Nothobranchius furzeri: one gene and its partners. The protein of the gene in region 1 purifies or fractionates together with the protein of each later gene. This does not show direct contact. Links are inferred from orthologs where the notes say so. Each region holds a gene or a part of one and is shown in the gene's direction. Other genes may lie near its edges.

Region 1 (4,155 bases):
TGTACTATGTTTGAAAGTTTGAACTGGCTTCCTTTAAAGGAAAGACGGAGCTTTCATTGGTTATTGTTTATCTTCAAATTTATATTTTTTAAATTTTCCTGAGTATTTAAAAATGTATTTAGTGCCCTTTGAATGTCCATATAGTATCTCTTTTGTTGTTCCTCCAGTTAAGAAGGAAGTTGGGAGACTTGCTTTTAGAGTTAAAGCTCCATTGGACTGGAATAAGCTCTCTGTTGTTATTACATCTTTTCGTTTATTTAAGAACTCTGTTCATTTACACATTTTACCCAATTGTAATTGTTTTTAATTGATAATGTGCTGCACTTAATTTACCACTGGTAAGAAAGAATTTATTTCTGTGATTGCCTATTTTTCTGTAAAATCACAGAAAAAGAGAGCTGCTCGGGTCAAGCAGGCTGCTTAATGCGCGTTCACGCTCAGACATAGCCCTCCGAATCGTTCTTAAATGGTACAGATACAAGTGACGTCACTGGCGCGTTAGCTCGCCTAGTAAGACGTCGGACTCTCGTGCAGAAGACCTGGGTTTGATTCTGGATGTGAACATAGTTTATTTAGAGTTTCTTTTTTACATTAATGGTATATTTTTTTTACAGTAAGAAGCCCAAATTTTTATTTGAGACTCGCCGAACGGCATTGCATTCACAGATAAAAAAGATGTGGGTTCAACTTTCATTTTGGAACAATTTTTCAAGAGCATGCAGGAGGACTGACCCATCTTAAACCTTTGTCGGCTGTGCTGAAGAGAAAGGTACAGAACCAAATTGTTTAATTAATTAGCTGCGCGTTCTCCTGTCCTCTGTCCTCCGGTACAACCAGGACTAAGCTCGTTTTTGCCAAATCGAGGCCCTTCAAAGAGCTGTCTACAATGTGGACTGATCATATCCTTACCACAGAACCCCAATTCAACTTTCCCTTAAGTCAAACTGTGTCATTGGCCGTGTTCGAGTTGAGCTGCGCCTCGCCTGGAAAGCAGACGAGAGCAGGGGGAGTGGCTGAAAGCCGGCATTTAAGTCGGACAGATTTCCCTACATGTGTAGCTCGGGGGTGACGATGGATGAAGATATTGCGTTAGAGTTCATACTTGTTTAATTATTTATTTTAATTCTGGTACCTGTTAGCAGCTGAAACACATCCTCACGTGTTTGTGGATGTCATATATTGTATATGGAGACCTGACTAACCCCGGGTTTCCACCGGAGTCGTCAGCAGCACGTTACTGCAGCAGCACGTCTTGCTCGCGTAAGCTGCTGCTTGGCCCTTCCCACGAGACGCGAATCAGCAGGGGAGCAGCTGTCACCGACCGAGCACGAAGTCACACGAGTGACTTCGTCAGTAAACACAACAACAAGCAGGAGAAAACTACAACATGGCTCCAAAATGTTTGTGTTTTTATGTTCTGTCCGTTTTATAATCGCCAATACGGACCTGAAAAACAAAGGAGACCGCTAGCTAGGTGATAACTTCTCACGGGGCCGCACAGTTAGTAACGTTTTTTAAAGTAAAACGACCGGAAGGCAGTACGTTCTTTATTCTGAAAATATCGGGAGCTTCTCTCCATTTCCGCGTCCGATTTCCTGTCTTTCCTTCCCCAAAAATGTCGAACTTGACCCGTTTCAGAGGCGTCGCGCGTAGGAAATAGAACCGGCGCGTAAAGGCCGCGACATGCTGCTCCTGAGACGCGGCCGACTCGCGCTGCTGACGGCTCCAGTTGAAAAGGTTCTGTTGACCACAGCCGTTCCTATCAGCAGCTATGACGTGCTGCTGCAGTAACGTGCTGCTGACGGCTGCTGTGGAAAGCCGGGGTAATAATAAGTAATGGTTATCAGCTGCAGCTTTAGTGTGCTCATATGAAACGTGACAAATAACACAAAACACATTTGTCTTTATGGCCTATATAGTTGTCATCATCGACGTTACATGATTTACAGAATACATGTGACCAACTAACATTTCATGTTCTACCACCGGATGTTTGGATCAAAATATGAACCAATCAGATCTTAGATCAGGTTTGAGCCAGGCGTTTCCCATCATGCCCTAGGTTTTGCAGCCGATGGAGAGCAACTGCAGCGCCTTGCTCCAAAATCTGCAGCCGCCTTGATCTAACAAGGTTATCGTTGTCTACGTATGCATGACGGCAGAGCAAGTCGGCGTCAAGTCGGACACAAATCTAATCTGCGCAGAACTGGCTCATCTCGAACACGGCCATTAACAGTTAGAGCCTACACCGTCTGATTCCCGGAGATCTCACCAGCCACCAGGGGATTTGAATGAAACTTTCTGAAAATAATCATTGGATGTACAACTGGTTTACTTTCAAAGTCAATCCAATTAAGATGGCCGCCACAACCAGTTGACTTTGACAAACAAAAACACGACTCTCACTCTGTCAGTTTAGAGCTGCAAACAAATGTGGTTGCAGCTGAGGGTAACCCCATCAGATGCTTTGTGTGTTGTCTAGAACTCCATAATTTCTAGACTAAACCAGATCTTAGTTCCAAACTCTGTCATGATGTGTTTCTTTAAGGAATGCAGGCTTTTACATTTTTATTCACTCCAATCTGAGAAGATTTGGGAAAGTCATTTTTTTATTTGTCTGTAGAAATCCTGGCAGCTGGTACCTCCCATGGGCACATAGCAATATGGAAGATGGTGGTGCAGCCAAACAGCAGCAGCAGAGAAACAAAGATCCTGTGGAAATTACAAGCACCCACAGAAATAGAAGGAAATGTCCTTCAGCTACAGGTACCATCTAGACCAGCATTCCATCATGATAGGCGTGCTACTGTTTTCAGAACATTGAACTGAACTTCAATTTCAGTGGGGCTCCTGCCAGAACCTTTTGGCAGCCAATAATTCAAAGACGGTGCTGATTCTAAGTGAGCACGTGATGTCCGCCCACTTCAGCCAGCAGGTGTCAGCAGTGCAGCTCACCCCAACACAGGTCATCATCACTCAGTTCTCCACTGGAGCGCAGCTTGCTCTCATGTCTGATATGCACATCAAAGGAGTGTGTGTTAGCAAGGTAGGAGGGAAGGTGAAGCTTTCACAAAGCGTTTCTCAGAAATACGTCTCAAAACCTTTTGTCTTTTTCTGTTCCATCAGGACTCGGTGACAGTCTGGAACGGTAAAGTAGTCACAGTTTATGAGCTCTCAGGAACAACTTTACGCAGCACAGGTACATGTTACAAACACAAACTGGTAAAATGAACTACATTTTATATTTTCACCACACCTAATTTCTTTTTTCCTTTTCTCTCCTTTCTTGATCTCTCAGGATCATTTTCTTGTGATTCCCAAGTGGTAGCCATGCATGGTGAGAACCTCTACACTGTAGAACCAAACAGGGTTCAAATCCGTACACCGCAGGTCTGTTGGCTTGACCCACTACTAAATAATTTTTGGGTAATTTTCAGAGCATGTCAGATGTTTGTGTTCACTTTCTGCACTATCAGGGCACAGTGAAACAACTCTTAACGTTCTCCAAGACAGAGGGAAACCCTGTGCTCCTCAGTGTGTGCCAGTCCTACCTGGTGGTGGGCACAGACACGGCGCACATCAGAGTTTTTGACCTTTCTAGAAGGTATGGAGTCCATGTGGCTCCTTTATAAATACTCTTATCAGCTGAATTTGTGAATTCAATTGAGATTTTAGTTTTTTTGTTTTTGTAGAGATGCCAAAGCTTCCTGTAGCGCTAAGAACCTGGCAGACCAGATTTCCAATCTGGGAGCTCTGAGGTCTGTCAATTGCAACGCCAATGGCAGCCAAGTTAGCATACTAATCTCTAAGGTAAACGGACAAACATGCTTTACTCTGATATTTTATGCTTTCACACCATCATGAAGTGGTTTTAAGTGGAGTCTTTCTTCTCAGGTAAATGGACGACCTGATCACAAAGTGTACTTTTATGACGTTGAGATGGACACCGTGACACACTTTGACTTCTTCACTGGAAGGCCATCTAGTGGCGTCTTACAGTCAGAAGAAAGTGAAAAGTAAGGTGTTCTCCTTTTGACCATGTGGACTGTAATAGCTGTGACCCCACACATTGATCTGTACGTCTTCTCTGTTTCTCAGGCAGAAGTTTCAGGAGACAGAGTGTAGCGGTCGCCGTCCTGTGTCTCATTTCTGGGA
Region 2 (4,721 bases), on another chromosome or scaffold:
GTTTGATGTGATCAAGTTTACGCATATACCTTCAGCAAGCATCTCTGCACAAGTTTTGCCAACCGCTTCGGTTCTGGCACAGTGCGACAGCCAACAAAAACAACATAAAACAAAACCTAAACGAGTGCCCTTGTATTTAAAAACATAAAAGAAATCGACGGACCTGTAAAGGAGAACACTGCGAACCGAGTCGAAGTCTTCCAAGTTCTTTGAAAATGAATTTCCATCAATAGAAAGATTAAACATCATTTGTGTCTCATGTCATCGCTGGCAGATATAGGTAACTGAGCAGTTGTAAATTAGGGTTTGAAAGCATCCAAGACCAAAGAGAATCTATCTCCTTCAGAAATGAACTTAGAAACTATTTGAATCGCTCCATGGAGTGTGAGCTGCCTTTCAGAGCCTCCCCCCAATTTCCCACGTCAATCTGTGAACCTTCTACACAGGGGCGGTTCTAGAGTGGGTGTAAAGTGGGCCAGAACCATCCTGACAACAAGCTTTGAGCCCCCTCTGTCCCTTTACCCACCCACCCACCCTGAGGGCAAAGCCTGAACAATAGTAAGTACAGATTTTTTGCGATAATTTTGCCTAATGCAAGATGTGGAACCAGCACATGTAAATGCTTTTTATCTGAAGCTGAAAAGATATTCCGAAACAAACACTTTCATGTTGTCACTGAGACAGAAAATTAAGATAAACACATGTTTTTGTCTTTGCAAAATAGTTAAATTTGAAGCCTCTAACAAATTTGCTTTTATTATATTGTCATGATTACACACAAAGAATTGAAACACTTATGGGCAATTACTTTCTTAAAAATGTGCCTCTCTAATTGAGCAGCTTACCCCTCACCTATTTTAGTCTTGAACAGTGGTACTCAATAGACGGCCCCTCTCAGGCCCCCAGACTACCAGTGTGGGCAGCAAGCAGGGAGGGTTAAGTGTCTTGCCCAAGGACAGTCCTCATGCTCATGGAAACCTGGGGCAGAGGAGCAGATGTCGAGTCTTTAGCACACCCAGGCAAAAAGAGTTGTGCAAAACTGCCATCTTATGGATTAATGATGGAAATACAATATTAAAACTCAGACGTCAAAATCTGTGAAATTTTCCATGCATCCTTAGATTTCTGACTGAAAACATTGACTCACAACATATTAGCATTTGTTTAAAAAACAATTTTTTGTAAATTTCATTAAATAAGGCAAATTTATACTTTACTATATCTTTCATTAAAATTAACCTGCTGTCACAAATTAGTGACACAGGTTTGGAATTATTCTATTACATTTTAATTAGCATCCTCGGTGCTTTCATTTTGAAATACGAACTCTGTATCTGCTGCCTCGTCTGCCTCTCAGAGGCCCCTCATTGGCTACCCCCCGTTGCCATGACATCTCCGCAGAAGACGCTTCAGAGTGAAGCATTGTGGGAAACAAACATCCCTAACGTCGAAAATGTTTTGAAAAGACGAAGGAGGTTTAGGTTGTGAGCTTTTAAAAGCCACTAAAATGAAGGTTGGTACAAAGGAGAACTTTAATACACACGTTTCTTTTGTTTTTGTGATTTCCAGGGTTGAATTGCCCTACACGAAACGGATTTAGCGAGTTTTTGGTATGCAGCTTCAAGCTAGCTCAGGCTACATTGGTTTTGTCGATAATTCCCAGTTGTTAGTTGTTGAGCTGACCAGAGAGAACATAACTGTATTTATAGGTGAATTATGATAGTACTTTAATGTTAGAGGCTAATGATAGCATTAGTTAGCTTATCGTGTCCGTTAAATGTGGCAGCATGGAAGCTTGATATGAACAATTTAGTTTTTTTTTTGTGTGATTTCTTTATATTTTGAACTGAAATTAAACAATAAATAGGGCAGAAAATTAGATAGAAAAGTACATTTAAAGAGAATGACGTGATATTATTTTTAAAGTGCGGATAAAGAAAGATAATCTCACTTTGTGGGTTTGATTAGTTATTTTCTTTATATTAAAGGCTGATTTAGAATCGATTTTTCTTCTATTTATCATAAGAATAGGGTTAAACAGCCAGAGCCCTACCTCATGCCCTTGAATTTATGACTGTTGTTTTTAGTTATCTGTATTCGTTTTTTACAATCTGTTTGTTTTTAATTATCTCATTCTTGGAAAACAAACTTTGATTTGTGTATTTATTTATGCACAGTTCAGTTCAAGGCCATGATTATTTTCCTTGTCAGGTTTAGATTTCCTGGTGTTTGTGTGAACATGATCCCGTTGCACGAATCAGTTTTGGCCAGGCTTTATTTATTAAATTTGTGACTTTGGTGTATGATTCACTCATGCAGCTGCAACACTAGAATGACTGTTTTCCCCTATAATGCCTTTAAACTTAGATTTAGTCACTTTTTGCTTCCAGAGTGTTTTCGTTCTTTCGGAAAAGGCTTGGGCAGGCTCTACTGTTCTTTACAAATGGCAGAAAAGCCTTGGAAACTACATTGCTGTTGCCGGGTGAGTAAACTGTTTCTTCTCTTAGTTCAAGATCATCATCAAAAGGGTGTTCATACATTTCAGTTGTTTCAAATCACACAGGCAGGATAACTCAGTGAAAATATTTGATCGACATGGACAGAAGTGGACTGAACTCAACCTCCCAGGGTGAGTGTAAGACGACTTGTAGGGGTTCACTTTGACCGCGTCAGCTGCTTCATATCTTTTGTCTCTCCTCACCTTTAGTCGCTGTGTGGGGATGGACTGGGACAAGGATGGCGACATTCTTGCAGTGATCGCTGCAAAATCCAGCTTAATCTACCTCTGGGATGCCAGTGTCAGTAAAATGTCACAAATAGACAGCGGGATGAGGTACAGCAGCCATGATGCAGAAAGTGAGGTAGGGAGAAAGTGTTACTCAGTTTTTAATAATCAGGATGTATTCTTCTTTTGCTGTTTTTGGTTTAAGCAAAGATCAGATGACCTTCATCCTGTGGTCTAAAGCTGGCCCTCTGTTAGCTGTTGGGACAGCAAAAGGAAACCTGCTGATCTACAACCAACAGACCTCACGCAAGATCCCCATACTGGGTAATAAACACACCGCAAACATTTATTTAATTATTTATTCATATTTACTTAATTTATAATGATCATTTGTCTTTACATTGCTACCGCAGGTAAACACACCAAGAAAATCACCTGTGGGTGCTGGAGTTCTCAGAATCTGCTGGCTCTGGGAAGTGATGACCACACTCTTAGCATTAGCAACCATGAAGGAGACACAGTCAGACAGGTAGTCACACCAACACTATATATGCGTGTAATTCATAATTTAAACAGACGTCACTACAGAATCACTTCTCCTCCAGCGTAGCTGCTACTTACCGCATGGCCAGGTTTAAAGTGGTTTCTCCATGTTTATTGCTCTTTTTGTCCTGGAAGAAGGTTTTGAAGCTCACTAAACTTACTTTGGTCTCTGTGTGGTTCGATGACGTCAATTTCTGTGAGACGAACATTTAGAGACCTGGATGTATTTTCACACCAAACCTAAAAGGCAAGGCAGCTTTATTTATATAGCACCTTACAACAGCATAAAACTGACCAAAAACAGAACTTTTGCCACCTGGTCTGTTGAAAATAAGCACATTCTTGGCATCAAAATGTGACTTTAAATTCACACATATCACATGTGAAATCCATTGCACAAATGAAACGACATCAGAAAATAACTTTTATCCTCTCATAGACTCCCGTTCTTTTTGTTTTGCTGTTGGGGACTCGTGATCTGGAAGTACATGGGCGTGACTTAGGCTCCCTATAGGCTTGAATCTGATGATACGATTCATATCAGTACAGGGGAGACGACATACTGCGATACCAGAAACAGGGCTGCAACAATGAATCAATAACAATCGATAAAAAATTAATTTGTCGTGAATTTGTTTGTGTCGTGCAACTTTTATGTAACAGTCAATGCACACAGCTCATAGGTGGCAGCAGAACAGACCGAGGCAGATCAGAACGAGAAAGAAAGCCGTTGTTTAGATGAGGAATGACAGGAAGACCTAAGAAAATTTTCTAAAGTTTGGGAGCACTTTAGATTAAACAATGCAAAGACATCTGTCACCTGCAACATATGTAAATCAGACGAGGCATGGCATGGGAGTTCGATGGTGATAATACAGCATCATCGCAAGCATATCTGAGCCATCAGCGAGGAAGGGGAGAGCTCGGTGTCTGGGTAAGTAGTGAGAAACTATGCCCTAGGCCCAGATTAATTAAAGTTGTAAACCAGGGCAGAACATATATTTCGCATGTGCGATGAAAATACACTCTGTGAGATAAACTATTTTTAGATGTACCCCACAAAAGAAATACAGTAACAGTTTGAATGTAAATTCTGAATAAAAATCGATATTCTGCTGTAGAAATATCAGTTCAGTATCATAACATGGAATATCACAATGTTTCAACGAATCATTATTATCTTGCATCTCGATTTCTATATATATGTGTTTGTGTGTGTGTGGCTTCACAATCTAACCCAGTCGGATAAGACAGTTAACCATTAATTAAGTTGCTGGGGCCTCATTTATCAAGCTTGCTTACGCACAAAACGGGGTTGGAAAACTGCGTAAGCAACTTTCCATGCAAACTTTGGGATTTATGAAAGAAAACTTAGCGGCAAAATGTGCGCAGCTTTAAGTTGACTGAGGACCTGGCTTACGCACATTTTGGACATGGAGAGCACCTGCAGTGC
Region 3 (4,653 bases), on another chromosome or scaffold:
TGGAGAGCGAGAAAGTCATTGTCACACAACTCGAGAGGAGAAAAAACAGAAGTGCTTTGCCCAGATTCATATTTCACTCTGAGTTCACACACAACCGACGCGTATCAAGTAAAATAAAAATAATAATTAAGCGAAAAACAAAAATCCGATTTGAATCCCTTTTATAATGTCATTCAGCTCGTGAGTGAGTTCTGTTCCTGGAGGAATCCCATTTTCTCAAGTGCTATGTCATCGTTGCAAAGTGCGCATCTGGATGAGCGCAAATCCGTGCCATTTTGGAAAATAACCATAACTCTTCACCAAAACTCCTAATTACCCTCCGCATCACCCCTGGTCTCATTCAAGCATCTCTTCCCTTGTGATATATTTCAAACGGGGCCGGTCTGTGCGCCTTGGTTCAGTCCCTCCATTCCACTCAGCTCTTTTCATCCACTGGTGTTAGTGGAGCCAGCGCCTCTGTTATCTCCCCGTAGTCCAACCTCAAACACACTCAGGCTCTGCACTCTCACTCATACTTTATATCCTGCTGGCTGTGACGTTTCTGAAGGAGGGGCAGCAATTTCTAAACCTTGTTCAAACAATGAACTATAGCTCCTATCATAACATGTGTTTCTAAATCCTTCTTTCAAGTCTGTTTTTGAGTTAAATTATGGTTTCCGCAATCAAACCCCATCCCATGCGTGAGTGTATTTTTGTTTAATGGTTATGTAGTATCTATTTTTAAACAAAAATAATGAACTAAACAGAAAAGTAAGCTTTCTGGGGCTAATTAATCAATTAGATGTTTTATTGTAGGCACAAAATGGCTATTAAGTAGGCTGCACAATTTTTCTGCTTTATCAAAGTTTCTGATGAAATCATGGACGTAAATTATATGCAAATCACAGATGGTGGAATGAAATTAAAAGGAGGTATTTTGATTAAACATTCAGCTGCTCTGAACTACCGCATGATGGCTGCTACCGAGCGGTGTCAGCAAATGAAAACATGCGCAACACTGACATCTGGTGGATAGAAAGAGTAACAACACATTTAATTCTGGTTCTAAATAAAAACACATTTAATTAACGGGACATTTAAGCGAGCGATGTTTAAATGTTGGACATAAATTTTCGCTGATACCTATTGGACTAGAGTTTGTCTTTTATTTTATTACATAAAAATATAAATGTAACCATTAATATCAATTCATCAACAATGCTATTACTATTTAATTAGACATTAAATCTTTGTGTTATAAATAAATCGAACCTGTTTTATTGAGATTTTATTAAATTTAATTACGCAAGACACGTTCGCTCCTGCTGATTGGCGTTGCTATGGTGAACGTTGCTATGTAACGGTTGTGACTCAGGAAGAAGCTACAACAGAGCTGTAGCAATGAGGAGAGAGATAGACGATAGCTTTCACGCCGAAGATGGGACAGCTACAAAACATGTACGTCTTGTTTCAGTTAAGATATTTATTAGTGATAACATAATTAGTATTTAGTGCTGTTAGAGAAGCTCGAGCCGTTGTGTAATGTTTCACCGAGGCTAGCGTCAGCTTTTTAGCTAACACCGTAAACCAAATACGTGCCTTGCCATTTGATAAGCTAAATGTTTAACAAATAAACCACCGTCAAACATATGTTATGGTTTTACCGGTTGTGAGCAAGATTAGTGATTATTTGTTTGCCAGTGTCAAGCTAACGCTAGCTTTGTGGTTAGCCGTGCTAGCGTGCTACTGAGTTTCTTGTAGGCAGAGCTTTTGTTTTGGTTTTCTCTTTTTTTTTCTCCTACTTTGCGTCTTTCTCAGACAAAAGAAGGTGCATTTCAGAATTACGAAGGCGGTTGGTCTCTCGTAGAGAGTAAGAACTGAGTAACTACCAGTGCTGTAAGAAAGAAGTAAAAAATTGTGAACCACCTTTCTGTCTTTTATTTTGAAAATCTACATATTCACGTCTCCTATTAGTAAACTGAGTAAGCTATTTGAACATCAAATAATAATGAAAACTATTTAAAATGAGAAATGTTAAAACGGATGGATCTATATTTATGGAATCAAAGTATTTTAGCATTTAAAGCAGATATTCTGCATATAAATGTATTCAGCAAGATGCTTTTCAACAAAGAAAATTAATTTTCAAAAATCCCTCACATTTCTCAGATTGCCAAGTCTGGACGAAGAGCTCGTCTTGCAGCAGACCAGTCGTCATCCGAAGAGTCTCGCCATGCTCGGAAGTCCTCTTCCTCTTTAGAAGTATGTAATTTCATGTAACAAATGGTTGTCTACATATTTTATTTTACCTTAAAGTATCATAAATACAGATTTTTATTTTATCTCATACACAAATGACAGGATGTTGATGATGATGATGAGGTGGGTAGCTTGACTTTGCATGACTTCTATTGTGCATACTTTCTACCCTATTAATATGGTGTTTGAACATTTCTCTCAATTACCAACACACAGCTGAAACTGACTTGATGCAGTGGATGAGATATTTCACTCTTTAAACTTCAACAGGTTTTAAACTTGTGTGTGTTGGTCAGTGTTTGAAGTGTCACTTTTTTCAAACTTTACAGCTTCTTCAGAGTATGAAAACATACGTGAATCCTTTCCATGAGTCTTATCATTGAAACATATCTTAAATGCAAATACATTTTATATGAATTACTTTACTAATTGACAAATAACAACAGCAGAATAGCAATAACTTGTCTTAAGAGGTTGTTGCAGGGGATAAGATGTTCTTTAAGGTGTTGGTTTCATTTTCCTGTGGTCTGATTCACAGATTTTCTATTCATTGCTCTGTAACGATTGGTTGGTGGTGTTTTTGAATGAGTCTTTACCCTGAAATGAAGAGGGTATTTGCTCAATTAGCAGCAGGTGTTTGTGTAGGGCGTTGGCCTTTAAAAGATGCCCGGTACCATGACAACAGTCATATGAAAGTATATTACATCATAGAAAAGACCAATATTGTTGCAGTAAAAAAGAAAATATGGCAGTCAATGTAACTGTACATTGGACTTGTTGGGTAAAATATGTGAAAAATCTCATCAGAGGCAACATTTATTAACTAGGCTCACGCTAGTATCGCTGGCATTTCGGGAACGAGTCACATCTCCTGCTCTGGCAAACCCATCATCATTCCCAAAGTCAAAAATTCCAGCAATGCTTTAAGCTAATCTTCCCAAATTAGGCCAACTTCCATAATGTATGAACCAATATTCTCACGCTCTCCCTGACCGTGCCCTGCACATGCAATACATTTTTCCGGAGTGTCGTGCATTTTGGTCCTTTTTTCCTCCTCCCTCTGCAGTCTTTGTTTATCAACCTTGCCCTCTTCTGCCTTAAATACCCAACTGATTTGGTCACATTCTTGACATCACTCAAAGCAAAGACCCAGATGCTTTTATGGGCTCATAATGTTTGACCACCACAATTTCCTTGCCCCAGAGACCATCGCAGAATCCTAAATTAAGAACCATGAAGGCTAAGCTAATTGTCCTAACAGCTCTAACTATTTTATGACAACTGTAAGGTTCATATTTGGTCATAAAGAATTTGCAGGCAGATGATTGTTTTGTTTCTCAGGACACTTATGGTCAAAGAATGCCAAAAAAATGACTGTTGTCCTCTCAAGGACACTTGACCTTATTATCTTGTCTCTCATGAAAACTATTTGTTGTCCTAAACACAAAGTATCAAACAGACGAGTTTCCACATCCACCAAAAGCATTCTGCAGCGTTGTCTTGAAAGTCTCAGTTGTCACTTTAATCATATGTTTTTGTTTAAACAGATGGTTACTAATTATACAAGGAAAGGAAATTCGTCACAAGCACTTTGTCCTCTGCAGACCCCCCCCCCCCCCCCACACACACACACACACACACATACACACCCCACCCCATTCAATGACCAGTGTTCACCCTTATATATGTCGATGGGTCACCCTTAAGTGCTTTAAAGGAATTCATTCATTCAAGTGTTGGTCTCAGTTGGTCCAAGTCTCAGGATCGAGATACATAGTTTATTATTTTCACAGTAAAGAAAATGACAAGCACATGGACCCCCACCCCACCCCACTCACCCACGCATGGACCCCTGTCACCTAACAACTATTTTGGGTTCAAACTCAGTTCTCACACTCTGCTCCACATACCACCATGCCACAGAGATGACTTTATAGTTGCATACAGGTTTGTCTTTGTTGCTTTTATTTGTGTTGTATCAAAGAATGGACTTTAAGCGTAACATCAGCTCAAATGGTAAATAATTAGCGTACCTTCACCGCATTAAAGTAGAAATTCAGCGTTTTGGGATTCCCCTAGAAGAGCTGGCCAAAGTGGCTGGGGAGAGGGAAGTCTGGGCCTCTCGACTTAGGCTGCTGCACCCGTGACCCGACTCCGGATAAGTGGAAGAAAATGGATGGATGGATCCAGAGTTTTCCTCAGAGGGCACCATCTAGAGGCAGACAATGTGTATTGCACCTTACTATACCTCTTCCTTCCATGATGACAGCTGGAAGCAACGCCTCTCATTTGTGAACGTGCACCTCAAGCCAGGCAACAGATCTAAAACACATTGAGAACTATCTAAAGTGTAAAGAAGAACAAGAATTCCTGGAAGTGATGGTCTGCCCCCCCCCCCCCCCCCCCCCCACACAC

The links.
Region 2: the proteins of ift140 (region 1) and wdr19 purify together in Homo sapiens (co-immunoprecipitation; 3 studies listed by BioGRID and IntAct, with this or other methods). This does not show direct contact. The link is inferred for Nothobranchius furzeri from reciprocal best matches to the Homo sapiens genes IFT140 and WDR19.
Region 3: the proteins of ift140 (region 1) and intraflagellar transport protein 43 homolog purify together in Homo sapiens (affinity purification with mass spectrometry; 3 studies listed by BioGRID and IntAct, counting the BioPlex papers as one, with this or other methods). This does not show direct contact. The link is inferred for Nothobranchius furzeri from reciprocal best matches to the Homo sapiens genes IFT140 and IFT43.

What each region holds. Positions count from the first base shown.
Region 1 is NC_091756.1:32,351,412-32,355,566, reverse strand, and holds part of ift140 (intraflagellar transport protein 140 homolog), read left to right. Parts: intron 1-2,623; coding exon 2,624-2,766; intron 2,767-2,842; coding exon 2,843-3,046; intron 3,047-3,126; coding exon 3,127-3,199; intron 3,200-3,298; coding exon 3,299-3,390; intron 3,391-3,476; coding exon 3,477-3,604; intron 3,605-3,692; coding exon 3,693-3,810; intron 3,811-3,894; coding exon 3,895-4,016; intron 4,017-4,098; coding exon 4,099-4,155. UniProt on the Homo sapiens protein: Component of the IFT complex A (IFT-A), a complex required for retrograde ciliary transport and entry into cilia of G protein-coupled receptors (GPCRs).
Region 2 is NC_091742.1:74,696,990-74,701,710, reverse strand, and holds the start of wdr19 (WD repeat-containing protein 19), read left to right. Parts: upstream 1-1,386; 5' UTR 1,387-1,507; coding exon 1,508-1,513; intron 1,514-2,390; coding exon 2,391-2,482; intron 2,483-2,563; coding exon 2,564-2,629; intron 2,630-2,707; coding exon 2,708-2,833; intron 2,834-2,930; coding exon 2,931-3,049; intron 3,050-3,138; coding exon 3,139-3,254; intron 3,255-4,721. UniProt on the Homo sapiens protein: As component of the IFT complex A (IFT-A), a complex required for retrograde ciliary transport and entry into cilia of G protein-coupled receptors (GPCRs), it is involved in cilia function and/or assembly.
Region 3 is NC_091758.1:32,608,729-32,613,381, forward strand, and holds the start of intraflagellar transport protein 43 homolog, read left to right. Parts: upstream 1-1,318; 5' UTR 1,319-1,380; coding exon 1,381-1,437; intron 1,438-2,148; coding exon 2,149-2,241; intron 2,242-4,653. Other genes in the region: tgfb3 (transforming growth factor beta-3 proprotein), read right to left, coding at 1-70. UniProt on the Homo sapiens protein: As a component of IFT complex A (IFT-A), a complex required for retrograde ciliary transport and entry into cilia of G protein-coupled receptors (GPCRs), it is involved in ciliogenesis.